Linked DNA regions of Drosophila melanogaster. Changing the gene in region 3 together with the main gene of any one other region gives a genetic interaction. Each region holds a gene or a part of one and is shown on either strand. Other genes may lie near its edges.

Region 1 (7,117 bases), 9.2 Mb from region 3:
GCCTGTCACTATCCACTATGAGTATCCACCCATCAAGTGGAATTGACAAGCTATTTGGGGCATTGCAATGCGTGTTAAATAATTGAATTGCTGAGTGTTCAATAAGAAAGTTGATTAATTATTCAAACGGCCCAGCATGTTTGGGTTTCCAAATTGTAAACAATCGAGTCCAGAGCTCGTTCAATTATCGGCCTGAAAATGGATTGCTCAAGTCAAAAAAAAAAATATATGCCAAGGGCGTAATAAATATAAAAATGTGCTTATGTAATATGCAAGAACATTTTGATTAACAAGCCTCTTCTCGATTGCCAACTACCAACTACCAATAATATTTGTAAGCTCTACTCTGTACACACTTTACACACAAACAAATTGCAGTTGAACAAACCACTTTCCTCAATGTAATTAAATTTTAGTTACTTTCTGTTTCTGACTGGTGCTAACTTTAAATTGCACAAGTATTTAAAGGGGTCCCTTAATCCCTCAACCCCATAACCCGCACGCTGCAACTGCTGCCAAGTGACCCAAATCAGGGTCTGTTGTCTGCTTGGAGATGCCGAATCGCGGCATCCAGCATCCATCCAGTTGGTTATCCAATCCAATCCAAGCCAAGCCAAGCCAAGCCAAACCAAACCGTTTCCAATCCCTGGCCCCGCCACTGGCTTTTCAGTCGCTTTGGAGGGGATTTTGCGCTTAGTTAGCTTAATTACGAGCGCGAGCTGAGAATCGGTTCGCTGCGGCGATAAGCATCGATTGGTAAATAAGCAGCGAATTCAAGGCTCCCGAAAGGCTTAATATCTTAATTACTTAATTATATATTTTAAATATATATATATATATACATATACCGTATATATCGTTGATTTTTTGCGCTGTGGGAGTGCTTAGTCGCAAAGTTTTTGCTAATGCTGCACTTCGTCTGACGCTGGCGCTTATGCAACCAAAATACATATTGAGCAGTACAAAGCCAGTGGAATGCCCCCAGGGATGCGGAAATGCGGAAATGCAGAGATGGATAGCTGAGGGGGGGGAGGGAGGTGGGTGAGCGTGTGGGTGGAGCATAGCCTGCATGCATGCATTCGTGTGCAGCGACTACTGGCGAAATTGAAATTCTTATGAAATTATATAAAATGCACTCAAAGGCATTTTTGGGGCAGCTTAGCAACACAAGCAACACAAGCAACACAAGCAACATGGGCAACATGAGCAAAATGTGCAACTTTGGCCACTTTGGACGACCGTCCTCCGCATGGCTTGTTTACGCAATTCCGGAAGTGAAAAAACCAAAAAAAGAAAAAGAAATAAAAGTTGAGGCAAAAAAAAGCGAATGGCAACGTGTTTCCTGTGCCATTCCGCCGCCATTTGCTGCTGCTGCTGCTGCTGCTGCAACGCAACCAAGACAGGAAGAAATCATAATTTGTCGTGTGCGATTGTCATTGAAGTAATTTACATTCCGTTTAGCCTTGGCCATAAATTGCGCAGAGGAAAATATGTGATGCCGTCATTAAAATATGAAATCTTGTTTTTCACAAAACGTGCCACTAAATGATAAACAAGCTGTTGTTTTTCATTGGGAATTACTCCATCTCATTTGTGCAATGATAAAAGCATTACATTTTCGAGTCTGCACGATCGTATCATCAGTTGTTTGCAGGACCTTGAGTTCTTCATACAAAGTTTTAGCTGCTCATTTTTAATCTGTTCCTTGTGCAGAGATTACACTTCTCCGAAAAGAGCCGACACGTAAATTGGAAAAGGGTTAGTGCAACTGTTGTTGCAATTACAATTCATCACATAGCCCGTAGTTCCTCTTCCTGCTGCACAGAAAGAAATTGGTATGTGGCGATCGTTGCAATGCCATGCAATTCAATGCCCAATTCAAAAATATTTGAAATGTGTAAACAACTCACTTGTTTTCTTTTCTGCGTGCATGTGGTGCTCCTGGCCATTTGCCATTTCGCCAGGCATAATCCCGACAATCGGTGCGATGTGGGTGATACGAGTGCGAATGCGAATGCGAATGCCAATGATATGTGTATTGTATGTATGTGCATACATATGGCGTCGTAGCGTGTGGGCGTGATGTTTGCACTCCGGTGCAGCGGGACTATAAATAAGCCGGGTATTTATTAGGGGCAATCATAAACTGCGTTAACGACGGGCACTCTGCCAACGAGAATAAGATCCGGTAAACAAAGGCACCGGTCGACGTACGTCTCATTGTGCGATAAGCTTTCAATTAAATCTGACCCGGATAACGGGGCGCATGGGTGCGGGAAATCGGAAATCGGAAACGAAAACGAAAACGGAAGCGGAAATCGAAATCGAAATGGAAAGAGATCAATTTTCAATTGCAGCCAATGCATGCATGTCCATGGGTCCAATGCTAATATCGAAAGACAAAGCTCCGTGTTCTGGAGGTCGTGTTCGCCATGCAGACTCATTGGTTGGTTGGGTTTAACTCGTACAAAGTTTGATGGGTTTGGGATTGTTTTTTTTTTTTTTTTAGAACGATATAACTCGATATAATGCTGGTGCGTAAATAACAACGATGTTCATTGTTCGCTTTGCAGCACATTTACTATGCGGTCGATGGCAAAATGACCCTCCTGTCGAACATTCTCGACTGCGGAGGCTGTATTTCCGCCCAGCGCTTCACCCGCCTGCTGCGCCAGTCCGGCTCATCAGGACCATCCCCATCTGCACCGACGGCCGGAACATTTGAATCAAAATCCATGCTGGAGCCAACATCCTCGCACAGCCTGGCGACCGGACGCGTGCCACTACTGCACGATTTCGATGCCTCGACAACGGAATCGCCGGGAACGTATGTCCTCGACGGTGTCGCCAGGGTGGCCCAATTGGCCCTGGAGCCCACCGTCATGGACGCACTGCCCGATTCGGACACGGAACAGGTTCTCGGTAATCTCAACAGCAGCGCGCCCTGGAATCTAACGCTTGCGTCGGCAGCGGCCACCAATTTCGAGAACTGCTCGGCGCTTTTTGTCAATTACACCCTACCACAAACAGGTACCTAAAGCCTAATAACTTTTAAATCATATTGCAGTATTTTTTTTTTTTTTTTTGTTGCCGGGATAGGACTCTACTGCAATTGGACCTGGGACACATTGCTCTGCTGGCCACCCACTCCGGCTGGAGTCCTTGCACGGATGAATTGTCCTGGCGGCTTTCATGGCGTAGATACGCGCAGTAAGTAACTGAAATACACTCTAAAAAAAAAGCAGCCGAAAAAGAACATGCTGAGTACAATTAGCATAATTAATCGTTGAAGCTGTTTAGCTGTTTAGCAGCCACAAGAAGCTTTATGACTTCTGCCGGCTTATTAGGAGTCAAAAGACATGTCCTACGGTGTTTATCCCATCCACACGGCATATCTGGCGGTCACAATCATACGGATCATTAGCTGGGAAACGGTTCAAGTGGTGCACGGCAAACAATTACTTGATTCCGTATTCATCGAAAGGATGTCAATATTTACATGCATGACTGGGGGCGTCCAATCAACCGCACTCCCAGTCGGGGCCGCCCCTCCTTGGCTTCCATCGCCGGGGGCTGTCCAGGTGTTTCATGTGCACCCTCGAGCTCCGCCAGTTGAACAGGGTTTAAAACACCAGCCAATCGATTGCTTAATTACGATCCTAAATGCTTGCTCTACCCCTCCGATAAATTAAACGTTCTGCAATGGGGAATTGCTATTTAATAACCATGGGCGATATACACTGAGCGAAAAGATTCTAAGTAGCTGACTTACCACCCAATATTTTACAAACTTAAAATGCTCTTCCATTATCACTAGTGAATGTATTATCTGCGCTTGTGGTGCAAAATCTAGGCATATCGAACTATATCTGTTAAGAAATAATTATTCGAGTGCATTGTTGAGCTACGGCCTCATTTCTCCGGGCCGTGTCTAGATTTTTAGCCCCAATATTTTCAACTGGACGAGGTCGGTCGCCCATTCGATTGGCATAATTGCACTTGTCAGTCAGTGTGTCAAAGCTCGATTACTGTCATTAATCCAACCCAACCTCCCTCTTTTTCGGTTCGCAGAATTCGCCATCCGAAAGTGTGAGCTGGATGGTCGATGGGGCAGCAGGCCAAATGCCACGGAGGTGAATCCGCCGGGATGGACGGACTACGGGCCGTGTTACAAGCCGGAGATTATCCGTCTCATGCAGCAGATGGGCAGCAAGGACTTCGATGTGAGTTGAATTCTTTCCACACTACATCATAATACCTGTTTCAGTTATAGTTAAGAGCATTGCTTAAATGCCAACCAAAATCCCAAATCAAGGGTATGGTTTTGAAATTACCTAATAGGGTTCCAAGTTTTTTAGACACCCTAAAAAGTGATTTCAAAGGCCTGATTACATTTGTTGATAGTGGTTTATAGTAGTAGTTTTAATTCCATTTCTTCCAACTGGTTTGCGATATCCCTTAGGCCTACATAGACATTGCCAGGAGGACTCGAACCCTGGAGATCGTGGGCCTCTGCCTCTCCCTGTTCGCCCTTATAGTTTCCCTGCTGATCTTCTGCACATTTCGCTCGCTGCGAAACAATCGCACCAAGATCCACAAGAATCTTTTCGTCGCCATGGTGCTGCAGGTGATCATTCGCCTGACCTTGTATCTCGACCAATTCCGGCGGGGAAACAAGGAGGCGGCCACCAACACGAGTCTCTCTGTCATTGAGAACACGGTAGGCTTAATATTCCCGCATAAGGATAAGGTATAAGGCTTATGTTCGATATTATATGTTATGTTCTACAGCCCTATTTGTGCGAAGCATCCTATGTACTTCTGGAGTACGCTCGTACCGCCATGTTCATGTGGATGTTCATCGAGGGCCTTTACCTGCACAACATGGTCACCGTGGCCGTTTTCCAGGGCAGCTTTCCCCTCAAGTTCTTCTCGCGACTCGGCTGGTGTGTGCCCATTCTGATGACCACCGTGTGGGCGAGATGCACGGTCATGTATATGGACACCTCGCTGGGCGAATGCTTGTGGAACTATAATCTCACGCCCTACTACTGGATCCTCGAGGGGCCACGACTAGCGGTCATACTGGTGGGTAATATCAACTGTTGATCGCTTTAATCACCTATTCACCCAACTGAAAACATCCGCATGCAGCTAAACTTCTGTTTCCTGGTGAACATTATCCGAGTGCTGGTAATGAAGCTGCGTCAATCGCAGGCCAGCGATATAGAACAGACTCGCAAGGCAGTTAGAGCGGCTATAGTCCTACTACCACTTTTGGGTATAACCAATCTCCTGCACCAGCTGGCTCCTCTGAAAACGGCCACGAACTTCGCGGTCTGGTCGTATGGCACCCACTTTCTCACCTCGTTTCAGGGATTTTTTATAGCGCTAATTTACTGCTTTCTAAATGGCGAGGTAAGACATCAAGTCACTCAGTTGTCCATTTGCCTAAAACCCTCACTATTTCCAACCAAAATATATATTTTTTAGGTTCGTGCCGTGCTACTAAAGAGTCTGGCCACCCAGCTGTCGGTGCGAGGTCATCCGGAATGGGCGCCGAAAAGGGCATCTATGTACTCGGGTGCTTATAACACGGCGCCGGATACGGATGCAGTGCAGCCTGCAGGAGATCCATCGGCCACTGGAAAGCGGTAAGCATCCGCTTTGTGCACACCCCACCTTGAAACTCCTTACATCAATTTAAAACTCCCAGAATATCACCGCCGAATAAAAGGCTGAATGGAAGAAAGCCGAGCAGTGCCAGCATTGTGATGATTCACGAGCCTCAACAGCGCCAGCGACTGATGCCCCGGCTGCAAAACAAGGCGCGGGAAAAGGGCAAGGACCGGGTGGAGAAGACGGATGCGGAAGCGGAGCCGGATCCGACCATCTCCCACATTCACAGCAAGGAGGCGGGCAGCGCGAGATCGCGAACTCGCGGCTCCAAGTGGATAATGGGCATCTGCTTCCGGGGTCAAAAGGTACTAAGAGTACCGTCAGCGTCATCCGTGCCACCCGAGTCAGTTGTATTTGAGTTGTCAGAGCAGTAGACCAAAACCTAGCCTAACTAATAGATGTAGCCATAGCCGTAGCCAAATAGCCGTAGAAGTAGCCAACGCCATGTAGCCCACCACCACAGTAGCCAGCACCCACACAATCGGACCGGAAATGATCCCAAAGATAACCCAGAACCCGACTATTCCTGCATCTCCCATCGACCCACCAAGCAAGCCAGCTGGAAACAGCACATATGTAAAATACCCCAACAAAATATCGCAGTTCTTATACCCAAGATCATTTTGAACAGAAAGTAAGCTCATTGTTTTGTAATTCAAATTAAACCAATAGACATTTAATTTAAATAGTTATTTTCGCTTGCCTTCGGTTCTTGCTCCACTGTACTTATGTAAATACATACATACCTTTATTTGTGTAAGCCATATCCAAACCCTTTCCAAAATCTAGAAATCTCCTATCCTTTCGAAATCGGCTAATCCTACGAAAATTCAAATTTCCCTACAAGTTTTACAAAATATTTTTGATGACAATAAATTTCCAATAGCGTCACCTTCTGTTCTGGACACGCAAATACATTCAAAAACACTCGCACACGGTTCTTACTCGATGAATTTTTCAGCAAAACTTCAGCGGCATGTTCTTTTACTTCTACTATTCATATTTAAATATTAGATTGAAATATTTAAGTGAATTAACACAAACTTGCGGTAACTGCGCAGTGTGGCCAGGCTTTGTGAGCCATTAGAACTTATTACATAACATAATTGAAAAGTGACATTGTTTAAAGGAACTCACCTTTAATCAACTGTTGAACTTGCTGTTCATCGGATTCCGTTATTAAGTTTTAAGATTTGGGTTTACTTGTATTTACATTTTCTTTACCACTTTGATTAGCTTACACTTTCCGTTCCTGAGCTGGTCACACTGCCAGCTACAATCGATCACGTTCACTGCAACTGCCTTGAATTTTGCTAGCTGCGCTTTGTTGTGCAACAAAAACTTTGCCACAATCGATATTTAACTAATGGGGTCCATAATCGGAGACACATAAATGCAATAAATATCTTTTCGGCTATTCTCTCCTCCTTGTTTCCCA
Region 2 (7,568 bases), about 11 Mb from region 3:
ATCGAAACAATTCGAATTGGTTATTTGTTTTTCAATTAGGTTCCTTCTGCTTGGTTTGAAAAATTCAACTTAACAATAATTTCGAATCAGTTTCGTTGAATATGTTTATTAATTAAATGATTCATATCGGAATTCAATCATTTGAATGTATGTATAGTCTGGAAGCTGTTAAAATCTACTAAGAAAATATATTCACGCATTCATATATATGATTAAGATATATATGTATGTTCTTGGGGAATTTAGTCGAGAGTTGGCTTTAAAGTGGGTTGCTTGTATTGTATGCTTAAACTATCTGTTGTCTCTGTCCTTTTTGTGCAACCCGAACATTTTTGTAAGAGACCGTTCGGAATTATTGATAAATGATTACAGTTTTTATCATAGTAGGCCACTTTTGTATACATGAGTTTTAATCTAATCGCTGGATTAGATTTCTCATCAGCCCGTGGACTAAAATTCTTTTTCTGCCTGTCTCAACTTCGTTTTATAATTTGTGTATGAATCTGTTAAAAAACGAAGCAGGGAAACGACGTATCCCTTCAATTTGGTTGTCGTCATTTCAAAACAAGGTAATTAAGTATAAATCATTGCTGTAGACGCAACATATTTTGCAAAAGTTTATCGTGACAACTATTAGGCGAAATGTTCATCTCAAGATCCTTCTTAAATATTTTCTATATTATATGTCAATGTGTACACATTGTTTTCCCTCCGCAGCTAGCTAATTATATATGTACTTTAGGATAATCATACCATTTTCCCCCTCCAACTCCTTTTAATAACACCACGAAAATACAGTTTTATTCAAGGGATGTTATCCTTTTTTAAAAAATTTCTAAGTTTTACTAACCTTGTTTAGGTGGTGTAAATATGTATATGAAGTTATTGTTTTATTTTTGGTAGCAGTAAGTTCAGTAGTGGCACAGCACAATAATCCTTTAGCACACACACACATGCACTTACAAGAAGCACACACACAGCCTCTTATGCACACACACAAGCTCGCAAACAAGAAACTTCTGCTTTTCAAGTGGCATACATAGCTTCTAAGGATTCACATGGCTCTTCTACATAATTTATTCAATTTCGTTCCACTTTGCTTGTATTTTCTTTTTTTTTTTTTGTATATTTCCCTCTAGCATAATTTTAACAAGTTTTCCTTGGCAAAAATACAACAAAATTGGAATTGTCTTCGAAGAGTCGAAACAAGTTGTTGGGAACTGATGATCGTGCAGTTTTTAGAGAAACTAGCACAAACAAATGGAATTCTCTGCATTAACCCAAGTCGTTTATACGACGCTATCCTATTTGTATTCAGTACGAGTATGATGGAATATATCGCGGTTTCGGTTCTAAATCATCCAATGGTAAGTCGGAACTTTCTATATCTGGTTACAGCGCAAAAAGGTATATTGTTTGATATAATTTCTGTTGGAAGACGTTAGCAAACAAAATGGAAACCCAATTTGATGTTGTCACAACTGTTTCCCCGGCGTTATTACAACTAAACTGTGCGTTTCGCGACTGTAAGACAAGTTAGCAGGATTTACGTTTCTTAATTACAATTAAATAACAATATGCACCCTTGTGCAGTGTTGGAAAGAACGTCGGTTTTTATTGTTTAGGGAATTATTAATAAAATACTCTTTTCTAATATCCTTTGCCTTATAAACCCGAAAAGCACAGTTTCCGCTTTATGTACACATTCTGTATAATATGGTAGTTATGTTTATCTTTTGCTTAGTTTCATATTTCATTGTGCAAATTGACATTCCAAGTAAGAATTGTGGAAACTCTTGTGGTTTGATTTTCTTATCTTTCTACACAGTTTTTTTTGGGTTCTTTGTTCTTCCTTTATAGTTTGGCGAAAAAAGTTATTATTATATAAAAGGATTGCGGCTTTTATTCTTAATTTTTGTTTGTTTTGCTAATACTTTTTTCCATTTTTTTTTTCATTTTAATTAATTTAATTAAGCAACAATAACACGGTGATGTTGAAAAATTTAGCTACGATTAATTTAATTAAAAATATGTAAACTTGGGCGAGAGGCTTTTTTTTAATTTCCAGTTTGGGATAAATAATGTGGTTTCAGGAATCATCTGGGATGATCCTGGCGCCACATTCACACGCGCTCTCTAGGCCCTTGCTTTAGGATTCGTTATATAAATAGCTATATATAGATGTATATCAGTATTTGTATAGTTATATATATGTGTATATAGATGCCCCGCACAGTGCGTTATGGCCTTGGCATATTGGCATGCTTTCATATAAAATAAATAATTAACACTTGTCAAATACTTTAGGTTAGGCCGATTCCCCCAAAACCTAAACCACACGCAGCTTGGCGCTGCGGCAGCGTTGGCGAGGATTGCCCAGCGTTTGTGGATGTGAACCAAGCTTCTGCGCATTGTCCTTGACAAGACGACGCGGATTGGCACAGCAGCATTGGATTAGAATACTATAGATTCGGAAAAGTAGTCGGACTATCTGCCGCTTGGCCTGGCGCCGCGGACACCATGCAGCCGCCCAGGATTAGGAGTGCAGGTTGGCTCGATCTTTGGCCCGCCTCTTGGCGAGCATGGAAAGTTCTACGGGTCCCACATTCGCCGCCTGGGGTATGGCAATAGCCCGGAAAGTGGCATCAACAGCGCCTCTTAAGGCCATGGAGATGTGATTCTGCTGCTGCTGCTGGGCGCCCAGCGAAAGTTGGGATCCGGGCGCCACCGCATACTCTGTAAGCTGTACGCCGCCGGCGAATTGCTCCCGCAGCCAGTCGTGCTCAAGTATTCGCGCCGCCGTCGGCCGATTCTCCGGTACTATGTGTAGCATCTGACGCAAAAGTTCTTTGGCCGGCACACTGATCAGTGCCCAGCGACTGCTTGTGAAGTCAATTTGTCCTGATCCGATGCGCTTCAGTATTACGTCCGGTGAATCATTTGGAGTGCTGGCGAAAGGCGTCCGGCCGGATAACATGATGTAAAGCAGCACACCGAGCGACCAGATGTCGCAAGCCAGGTCATAGCCCTGTCTCTTTAGAACCTCGGGAGCCACAAAATTGGCTGTGTAGCATGGCGTCATCAGGAGGCCGTTGTCCGCGCGCAGCTGCTTCGCGAAACCTAAGCGGAAATCGGAAGGTTACTCCTGCTCTACCAACAAGAAATACTCGCACAGAAAAATATATAGCCTTGCAGAAATAAATGCTTTCTGAATTTAAATATTATCAAATGATTTCAATTGCAATAGGATGGAACTTTGGCTAAATAAGATCTTAAAATGAAAAACCTTCTGTTTGGAGAAAAGAAACCTTTAAAATTGCAAATAACAAAGTAACTTAGAAAACAAATAATAGTTAAAGGAATTAAAAATTACGAAAGTTTAGCTTTTAAAGTGAATCATGTTTGTCAGCAATTGGAAAATTTACTGCAAGGCTATAATAAAATATATTTAACTAGTTCCGCTCCGCACTCACCCAAATCGCAGAGCTTTAGGGTCTCGGGAGTTTGCCGCATACTGGCATATATCATATTTGAAGGCTTAAGATCTCGATGGACCACGCCATGTTCATGGAGATATGCTACCGCAGATGCAATTGTCCTTAACACCGCGCTGGCCTCACTCTCGCACATCTGGCCCACGGCAAGTATCCGATCGAGAAGCTCGCCACCCTTAAGCAGCTCCATCACAAGATATGCGGACCCCGCATCCTCGTAAACAGAGTACAGAGTGACGATATTTGGGTGGTTGCCGTACCTCAGCATAATCTCCACCTCCTCCCAACAATCGGCAGAAGTGGATGTGGATGCTGCGGCCACAGCTGCCTTTTCGATTACTTTTACTGCGTAATGTTTCTTGGAGGCTCGATGCTCGCACAACCGACAAACTGAAAAGGTTCCACGTCCCAGTTCTTGCAGTAGATTATATTCCGCATGGAAGTTTCCGGGAAGAACACCAGGTAATGTTCGAGGGGCTCCCACTGGAGCAGCAGGAATAGGAGCTATACTATGCAGAGGACTGGCGCTGGTGGAGCACATATTCGAGCCAGCACACTGACCTTCCAGAAGGACAGGAGCCACAAAGCTGAACCCGCGGAAGATCTCATGGGCAGATGCGGAGATCGGGCCACCCGGAGAATCCCTGGGGGACTTTGAGGTGTACTCCACATCAAAGTAAAAGGCATCGTCACGGCTAACCGCCGGTATGAAAGGCGGACGCACCTGCTTTCGTTCTAATCTCACCCAGTCGATGGTGGCAAAAAAGCAGTGCGCCTTGATGTCCAGAATTCCTTGGGCACCCGCACCCAAACGATTCTGGGGGTTTCTTTTGAAGAGAGCACGTAGCAGGGATTGCGCCTCTGGCGACAAATTCTCCGGCATGCCCAGCTTACTTCTAAGGATCTGATTCATAGTCTCTTGGCGGGTTTGGCCATGAAAGGGTAAATTCCCCGTTAACATTTCGTACATGAGCACCCCGAAACTCCACCAATCAGCGGCAAAATCGTGTCCCTTTCGGTTCACGATCTCCGGCGCCATGTATTCTACGGTTCCACAAAAGCTATATGTTTTTGAGCCATCCAAAGGCTGCTTGGATAGACCAAAGTCCGTCAAGGCTATATGGCCATGCTCGTCCAGTAGAATATTTTCCGGTTTCAGATCCCTGTAGATAATGCCCAATGTGTGTAGGTGATTCATAGCTAGCGCCAGTTCCGCTAAATAGAACTTGACATCTTCTTCCGTAAACATTACTTCTTTGGATAGACGGGTAAACAGATCACCGCCACGAAGAAAATCCAGTATCAAGTAGAGTTTTCCGGGAGTTTGGAAGGCATAGTGAAGACGTACGATGAAAGCATGACCCACGTCCGCTAGTATTTTTCGTTCATTTGTGCTCCTTACGCGATCTTTTACTTTTAGGGTGGCCTTTTTGAGCACCTTCATGGCATAGAGTGTTCCTGCATCTTTGCCTATGATCTTTCGCACTAGAAACACCTTTCCAAAGCTACCTTCGCCCAGAACCCGTAGGAGCTCGAACTGGGAAGGATCGGCCTTGTCGTGACCCTCCTTGATGACTTCCTTAAGCTCGAATTCGTTTTCTGTTTCATATAGGGGCTCGGTGTCTTCTAAATCAGGTGCACTTCGCCCAGTAGCCCCTTCTCTCCTACCGCCAGTTTCCACGCCTCCCTGGGACTCGGAATCACTCAGCTCCATAAGTTCTGGCGGCGGGCACAAGGTTCGATGCGTCGGCCTTTTCCTAGCGGAATCCAAGTCTGCTGTTGGTGAGATGTGATGCTGCTCGAGGGCCGCTTGCAGAGCAGATTGCTGTTGCACCTGTTGCAGCTGCTGGCGGCGTTGCGATGATGTCACAGTGGTCACCGAGGAAGTGACACCGCTGTTGCCTCCGCCACTCTCATCGTCCTCGGTGGGCGTGTGCTCCATGGGCGTGACCGCCAGGCTGCTGCAGCCGGACGAGGTAATTTGCATGCGCTGGCGCAGCTGCAGACCCAATCCGCTGCTGCTGCATTGCTGCTCCGCATTGTTGCTGCTGCTGGTGGAGGACACATGCTGCTGCTGCTGCTGCTGCTGAGGCTGCTGGCGGAGATCCTTTTGCGAATCGGCCAGCGGCATGACTTCGGTGGCTGCTAGCGTTGTGAGGCAACTGCTCCTAGCGGTTCCTTTGTTTCCAGATCCTGATGCACAATGCTAGAGCCCGAGTTCCCCCTGCGTTTCCAACTCCTCCTGCTGCTCCTCCTCCACCGAACTCTCCCTACTTCCGATTTCACTTTTCTTTTTTATTACTTCCGCTGCGTGGGCGTCGCAGTCGACTGCGCTGTTGCCTCTCCGGATTTCTCTGGTTTCCCTGCTGCTCCTACGGCCAACAAGCAGCGCTTTCCTAATGCGCCCACGTTTCGTACGCCGTCTGCTTTACTATCCGCTTCGCAATCCGCACAGCTGTGTTGCTTCTTATCACTATTATTTACACATTCACAATAAAGTTTTTTTAGAGCTGCAAAAAAATCGATGTTACCATCGATTACATCGATAGTTTCAGTTTTCCGAAAACATCGATTTACTTTTTGCAGCCGATGTTTTTACTGTGCGTATTCAGCAAATTTTTGTTTACACTTTTAATACATTCTTTCGGTTTTAAAAGTCTATATAACTCAATTAAAAAAAAAAAAACATATAAATATAGTTTTATTTGAGAATGATTTGGCCCGTGTGACCGTGTCTAGCAATATACCAAACGCGAAAAATACCAATTCATTACGAAAACGTCGTCACGAAACAAGTTATCTTGTGTAAACCGTCTAAAAACCGTTATTATAAATTTCTATATCCCTTTTATATTGATTTCCGGAAACTTTGCTAAATAAATACAACGGTTTTGCAGACTTACTTACTTATATTAGCCGCAACATTCCAAATTCAATTGGTAAAAAACTAATGGATATCGTACAAGCGCTTTTAAAAACAATAAAAAAAAAAACATTGTGCTTATAGATTCAGTATTATTATTGCTTCAAAAGTGGACAACAACCACTTTTCATATATAAAAGTAGGAGTAGTAGGAGTAGCTTACTTACTTAGTGCAAATCTGAAGGGCGCAACGATAGACGGATACAATACTGACCACAAAATGAAGAAACAGGGCAAAAATTAGGCCGCAGGCAGCGGAAACCTCGCTGTTGGTATCGATCAAGTCGAACTAGAATGGATGAAACCATTAAAAAAACATGCCTCAATGCGAAGAGCCCGGCTTTACCTGTTCACCCTTTTGCTCCGCCATCCTGTTGAGGTCCCTTGACAATCCCACGCCGGAAATAGCCAGAGCCAGGGTGCTGCTGGCGATGCAGACCAAACTGAGGGCCAAAAACGCTGTCTGGGTTTTGCGCATGCTCACCACTCCAAGGGAGCCCGTAACGGCTGCTATCAATCCCGTCCAGATGCCGCATCCCGCCAGTGAGAGCGCTGCCTCTCGGACGATCAGAAGTGATCCCAGGGCCACCAGCGATATGGCCAGGAGCAACTGGAGAGTGCCCAACACTATTTGCAGTGGAAATGCCGAGCAGCATTCATTGCTCGCCTTGCGCTTGCGCCGATCTTTCGAGGAAAGCGATGAGCCACTGCCTCCACCCTCGCTGCCCTCCTTGTACTTAATAAATTCCGGTGGACAGCGCTGTTTACGACTGATCCTGGAGTCCAAAGTGGTGGCCCCACTCTTAGTGCCATTCACCTGCACAGAAGAAAAAATGTGTTTGGTACAATATTCGATTGTCTGAGGATTAATGAGAGCAAGGCAGTACAGAAATGGACAATTAAAGATTCTCTAGCCCTATTAGGTGATTCAACTGATACAAATTGATTAATTTTGGTTGACTTTTTGTAGGACCTACCTGGTTTGGTTGCCGCGAAGCAATAGCTTCCTGCAGCTGTTGTTTGAACTCTTGGTGCGAAATAAGATTGGGCTTATTATCGTCATCATTGTTTGCCTGGGATTTTTGGGCATCCAAGTCTAGGGCGGCGGATAGGAGTTTCACCGCCGGCGGCTTCTCATCGTAGACAGGACT
Region 3 (4,874 bases):
TCGATATTTTGGTTTTATGTTTGGTTTTATTCAGACAGGCAGAGACATGATTGTATTCATAATCATATTCAGGTTCAGGTTGTCGATCGGATTTTATGGATGTTTGATTTGATTTGGTTTGGTTTTTTTTTGTGGTGGTGGTGGTGGTTGGTTTGGTGGTTTTGTATGTGTGGGGAGAGAAAACAAATAAAAAAGATATAATATATTTATATGCTTAGTAGTTGAATGATCCCTTGGTGGCGTTGTGTTTTTTTTAGTCAATATATAGAATTTTAGATTCCAAAATAAAATACAACAAAAAAAGATGAGAGAGTGGGGTAAATGGTGGAAAGGATACTAATAGCTAGTTATTAAGTTTTAAATTTACCGCTCGTAGTGGCATTTTAAAATTGGCTGCTGCCTGCAGCTGAATTTGATAAGCTAAGCTGTGTATTTTAAATCCATATAGCCTATGTATGTGATGATCAAGTTGACGTCGTATCGGGCACATAAAACAAAAGAGCATATTAACAATGTGCATATACAGTAATGGGTATAAATCTTACCTTGGAACAAACTGATTAGTAGGACGCTTGGGACGATATTCGGGATGCACCATGAAGAGCATGTGTGGAAATCCAGTGCCGAAATAGGCGCCATCGGTATGGTGGTGACGCGACGATTTTGGTGTGTACACGTCAATGCACTTGGGGCAATAGGTCTTAACCATTGCCTCGCCGGGGATGTCCGACAGACCTGAGGATAATAATCAAAGGATTAGACCACTGGCAGAGCAACTAGCAACTAGAAAAAGTCAGAATTCATCGGTGAAATCTGGTACAAACATATTTAACCTGATTTAACTCAACATGATATCCATCATGATCATTTATCATTAATAGCAGAAATGTTTACAAGGCTCGTCTAGCCACTTTGGCCTAGTTAATTTTCACAGAAATTGAGGGACCTTGTTTAGTGAAACCCTATCTTGCATTTGTGCATGCATTTGATTCAGCATTGCTTTATTTGATCGTTAACAACGTTTAGGGAAGTTTCGGTAAGAATTTATTGGAGATCGGGAAGCGTTGCGAAGGTTTTAACTAGGGCAAGCCAAGCCAGACAATTAAGGTAGAATTTCTATTAAGAATGCGTTGTTTTTTTCTTGGTGTAAGATTTCATGGGAAAGCCCCAATGATATGCTATTCAGGAAACTCAATTAGAAGTTGTGCCAATAATCGCGTTGATAGTTTCTGGCTATGTAATTACTAGGCAGAAAAGCACGAGGTTCCTCGTAGATATGTTGTTTTTTTTTTTTTTTTTTAGATTACAATCAATTACGCGCAGAAAGATTCGCAACTATGTTTGTTAGCTATAGGTAAGAGCGATTGATCAAGGATCTGGTTACGCACCCAATGGCAGCATGGGCTGACTTTCACAGTAGACACGTGGACAATGTCCGAAATCGCCAGTTTGATATTTCTCGATCATTTGAGCGATGCCGCGATTTGTTAGTATATATCTGGCGTGTATGAGGCCGTAGAGCATCTCGGCGGCCTGCTCGGTCATGTCGGACTGCAGTGGATTGTCCTCGAGCTCGTCCTCTGTGGATGGTAAGGCGCATTAGCTATATACATTACAATTTTGGATATGGGTAACAGCCCATTCTAAACTTACCCGGTTCCAAGTCCAAGATCATGTCCAACGCTTGCCGATAGTTGGGTACCTGCTCATTTAAACCAGTTAAATTGAATTTATCCTGTATGTAGTCCTCATCCACCTGGAATCAAAAGCGTATGCAATTAGGATCTGTACTGGAATATACTGTCATATATCCACTATATCGTGTGTTATCTGGACATGTGTGTACAGTTGGGCTCGGTATTGCCCCACCTTGCGGCACACACGCACACACACACACACACACGCGCGCGCAAAGGCAGAGATTGAGGGCTGCACTTTGCAATTGTTGCACTTATAGCGCGCGCTTAGATAACGCGATTACAGCGAAGAACGCGGGTAATTCGTCGTTGATGCTGATATGATGATGATATCTCACCTCGCAGAAGAACTCATTGCCACGAAGTCCACAGAACCAGGTGACCCAGGAGACTTCCTCGGAGCTGCTCATTTTGCTGCAAAGATAAGCGAATGGAGTTGCTAATTCATATTTTCATCGTTTTTTTTTTGCTGACAAATTATCCTGCACACGCATACCACACATGCACACCGCACTCTCACACACACAGGCAATCATGGCACACACACTGGGACAAACGCTCACGCACTATTACATACATTAAGGGGATTATTTTGCGTAATTTGGGCTGGCGTGCGAAATTTATTGTTAAAATATCTTGGAACGGAATCTTGGCACTTTCTTGTCTACCCCACCCCCCCTGCTTTCTTCACGTTTCCTTTTGGTTCCGCTTCTTGTTGCTCGCACAAACCACACTCTCTTTTTCCGCTTTTTTCTTCTTTCCTCCTCTTTTTTTTTGGTTGGATTGGCCTTTTGGGGTTTTTGTTTTCGGTTTTCCGTTTAATTCGCGTTGCTTGTACAATGTTACTAGTTTTCGGTGATCGCACCGTTGAAATTCGTGTGGTCGGGGGGCATAAAAATAAATTTTTATACTCGTATTGTGACAATTGACAAGCGCTCATACAAAATGTGCCGAGCAGCAAGAAGAAGCACACACTGTTGGAAATTGAGAAAAAAAGAGACACATATACAGGGGCCACCACACGCACACAAGCAAACACGCACACCGCGAAGCGCACATAGGGACGTGCACACACGCACGCCTTTACACCGATGAGCGCAATCCAACGCACACCAACTTGCTATTCTGTATTTTTCCCGCTGCGGCTATCTTCCAGTGGCCAGCACTCACCCAAATTGTTAATAATTACTCAAATTGATCGACTTTTGTACTGCAGCTGAACCGGTAAAGGCAAATATTGTAGCGAAGACGATGATATCAGGTATGCAATCTCGACTATCGATTACCGCTGTCCTGCGCTGTCCGCAGGCGATTGCCAATCGATGTGGCGCCGTGTCATCGCTAAGCGATGTATCGGCTAATCGGGATTGCGCGTTTCGCAACACTGGTTCGGAAAAGCAATTAACCAAACAAAACGCGGAATTATTTGTTAAATAAGCAAATCAAGCCAAATATTAAAATATTGTTTATTACCAGCATTTAGTTGGCTGTTTTGCCATTTGTCAAATAATTTACCGATTGCAGCTAGCAATATTTTCTTACAACTACTTTAAGGTATTATTTCGTTTAGTTGTATGGTAACACTATGTTGAAAGTTTGAAATGTTTGAAAGTGCTTATTTAAATTTGTATTATTGACAAAATAAATCGGGTTTTCGTATAATATTTTCTCTTAGTTGATTGATTAGACTAATAATACAAGAACGAGCGATAAACCCACTGCATGCATTTTAAGCGCAATCGCTCGAAAGATGTCAGAGTGAGAGCGAAGCGAGTTGCGAGCTTAAGCGAAAAAGCGAGAGCAAGGCCTTATCGCTTCAACTCGCTCAGGGCGTACGATTGTTTTGTTATATTCTGCGCTATATTACCGTTTATTTTCAAAACACACGTTATTTTGTTTTGTCTTGTTCCATTCTGTAAATAACCTTTTATATAAATTATTGAATTCGCCTTTTTCATTTCTATTTCAGTTAAGAGGGTGGACGACAGTTTTAACAGAAAGTTAATAGTTGCGCTTGATGCAAAAAATTCCTCGTCCGAATCCATCACGTTCACATTAATAACTAAAAGAGAGCAATGTAGCTCGTTTCTCGCTTAGCTCTTACTCTGCCATCGACTCGCTTTGCTCACAGCTTCTCGCTTTGCTCATAGCTTCTCGCTTCGCTACTAGCGCGCACTCTGCCGTCAGGCTTATTGATAATTTTGAAGATTTCCTTGGCTCTCTTGCGTCCATTCACAACATAGGCCAGTGGATCGTCGCGACTAGATTCCATTAGATTGTCGCACGATTCCTGCCCGATGTTAAACATAAAGGATGTGTCGATATCCTGCGGCAACTTGCCGCGCAGAAAGCTGATCTCGTTGTCGGCCAACGATGTTTTCCGCGACAAAAGCAGGGCGGACAGGTAACGTGGTTGCTTCTTCTTCTCGGCGCAGTGCATCACCAGGCCCCAGGTGTCGTAGTCCGTGTCCAGAACGTATGTGTTGTAGATGCCCTCATCTGCAAGGAGGTACATATAGAAACGAAAATACTGCTTAAAACATATATTAAACCCGGGCAGATCGAATTACTCTTTGGCATAGTAATTACCAAACTACTTCAAACGTATCACAACTACATTTTGAATAGATTTTCGTTTTGAATTTGATTGTAGAAACATTTCCATCACTCACATATGTCCTCCGTGTGCTGCCAATGTCCTGGCTCTTGGAATTTGGGTATCATCCAGGTGATGTTGCCCACGAGCTTCTCGCGCAGCGGATCCTCCGCAAATATGTAGCTAAAGTTCATCGTTATCTAATTTAAATTGAGGTATTGAGGTATAATTTGTAATAGGGATAAAGGTCCTTGCTGCCACTCACATGCTGATCCTCTTTGGAAAAGGAAAAGTGACTGCGCATGCACGCGTACTCCGGAAGTTCCTCTGTGGATGCGTAATACTGAACCACGTGCCAACAGCCCATCATGCGCTCCAAATCGAAGTTCTTAATGGCTCCCACCTAAACGGAAAATTAGTTCCATAATAAGTTAGATATGTAAGTAATTTAGAGGAGGTCTTTATAATGTTGTATAATATAATATATAATGTAATCTATAATGATAAAGATCTATTATACTTTATGATAGGAGTTTTTTTCTATTACCTATATATATATACATTAGACAGCGAGGGTTTCT

Evidence for each region.
Region 1: of CkIIbeta (region 3) and Pdfr, changing one suppresses a phenotype caused by changing the other (phenotypic suppression), as found in Drosophila melanogaster (one study listed by BioGRID).
Region 2: of CkIIbeta (region 3) and S6kII, changing one suppresses a phenotype caused by changing the other (phenotypic suppression), as found in Drosophila melanogaster (one study listed by BioGRID).

Annotation. Positions count from the first base shown.
Region 1 is NC_004354.4:2,570,401-2,577,517, forward strand, and holds Pdfr (Pigment-dispersing factor receptor), read left to right. Parts: upstream 1-1,805; 5' UTR 1,806-2,266; coding exon 2,267-2,446; intron 2,447-2,573; coding exon 2,574-3,030; intron 3,031-3,099; coding exon 3,100-3,210; intron 3,211-4,071; coding exon 4,072-4,223; intron 4,224-4,462; coding exon 4,463-4,720; intron 4,721-4,791; coding exon 4,792-5,088; intron 5,089-5,154; coding exon 5,155-5,418; intron 5,419-5,493; coding exon 5,494-5,654; intron 5,655-5,716; coding exon 5,717-6,053; 3' UTR 6,054-6,605; downstream 6,606-7,117. UniProt on the Drosophila melanogaster protein: Receptor for PDF, a neuropeptide controlling circadian behavioral rhythms. Probably regulates circadian behavioral rhythms through coordination of activities of clock neurons. PDF-binding results in the elevation of cAMP synthesis.
Region 2 is NC_004354.4:22,528,408-22,535,975, reverse strand, and holds the start of S6kII (ribosomal protein S6 kinase II), read right to left. Parts: upstream 6,013-7,568; 5' UTR 5,626-6,012; coding exon 3,474-5,625; intron 3,121-3,473; coding exon 2,537-3,120; 3' UTR 1-2,536. Other genes in the region: CG17600 (uncharacterized protein), read right to left, coding at 6,585-6,706, 6,764-7,234, 7,395-7,568.
Region 3 is NC_004354.4:11,790,680-11,795,553, reverse strand, and holds the start of CkIIbeta (casein kinase II beta subunit), read right to left. Parts: upstream 3,022-4,874; 5' UTR 2,868-3,021; intron 2,841-2,867; exon of another isoform or gene 2,809-2,840; intron 2,676-2,808; exon of another isoform or gene 2,275-2,675; intron 2,112-2,274; 5' UTR 2,108-2,111; coding exon 2,036-2,107; intron 1,757-2,035; coding exon 1,654-1,756; intron 1,581-1,653; coding exon 1,389-1,580; intron 736-1,388; coding exon 546-735; intron 450-545; coding exon 368-449; intron 1-367. Other genes in the region: karl, read right to left, coding at 3,823-4,196, 4,370-4,493, 4,559-4,696. UniProt on the Drosophila melanogaster protein: Participates in Wnt signaling. Plays a complex role in regulating the basal catalytic activity of the alpha subunit.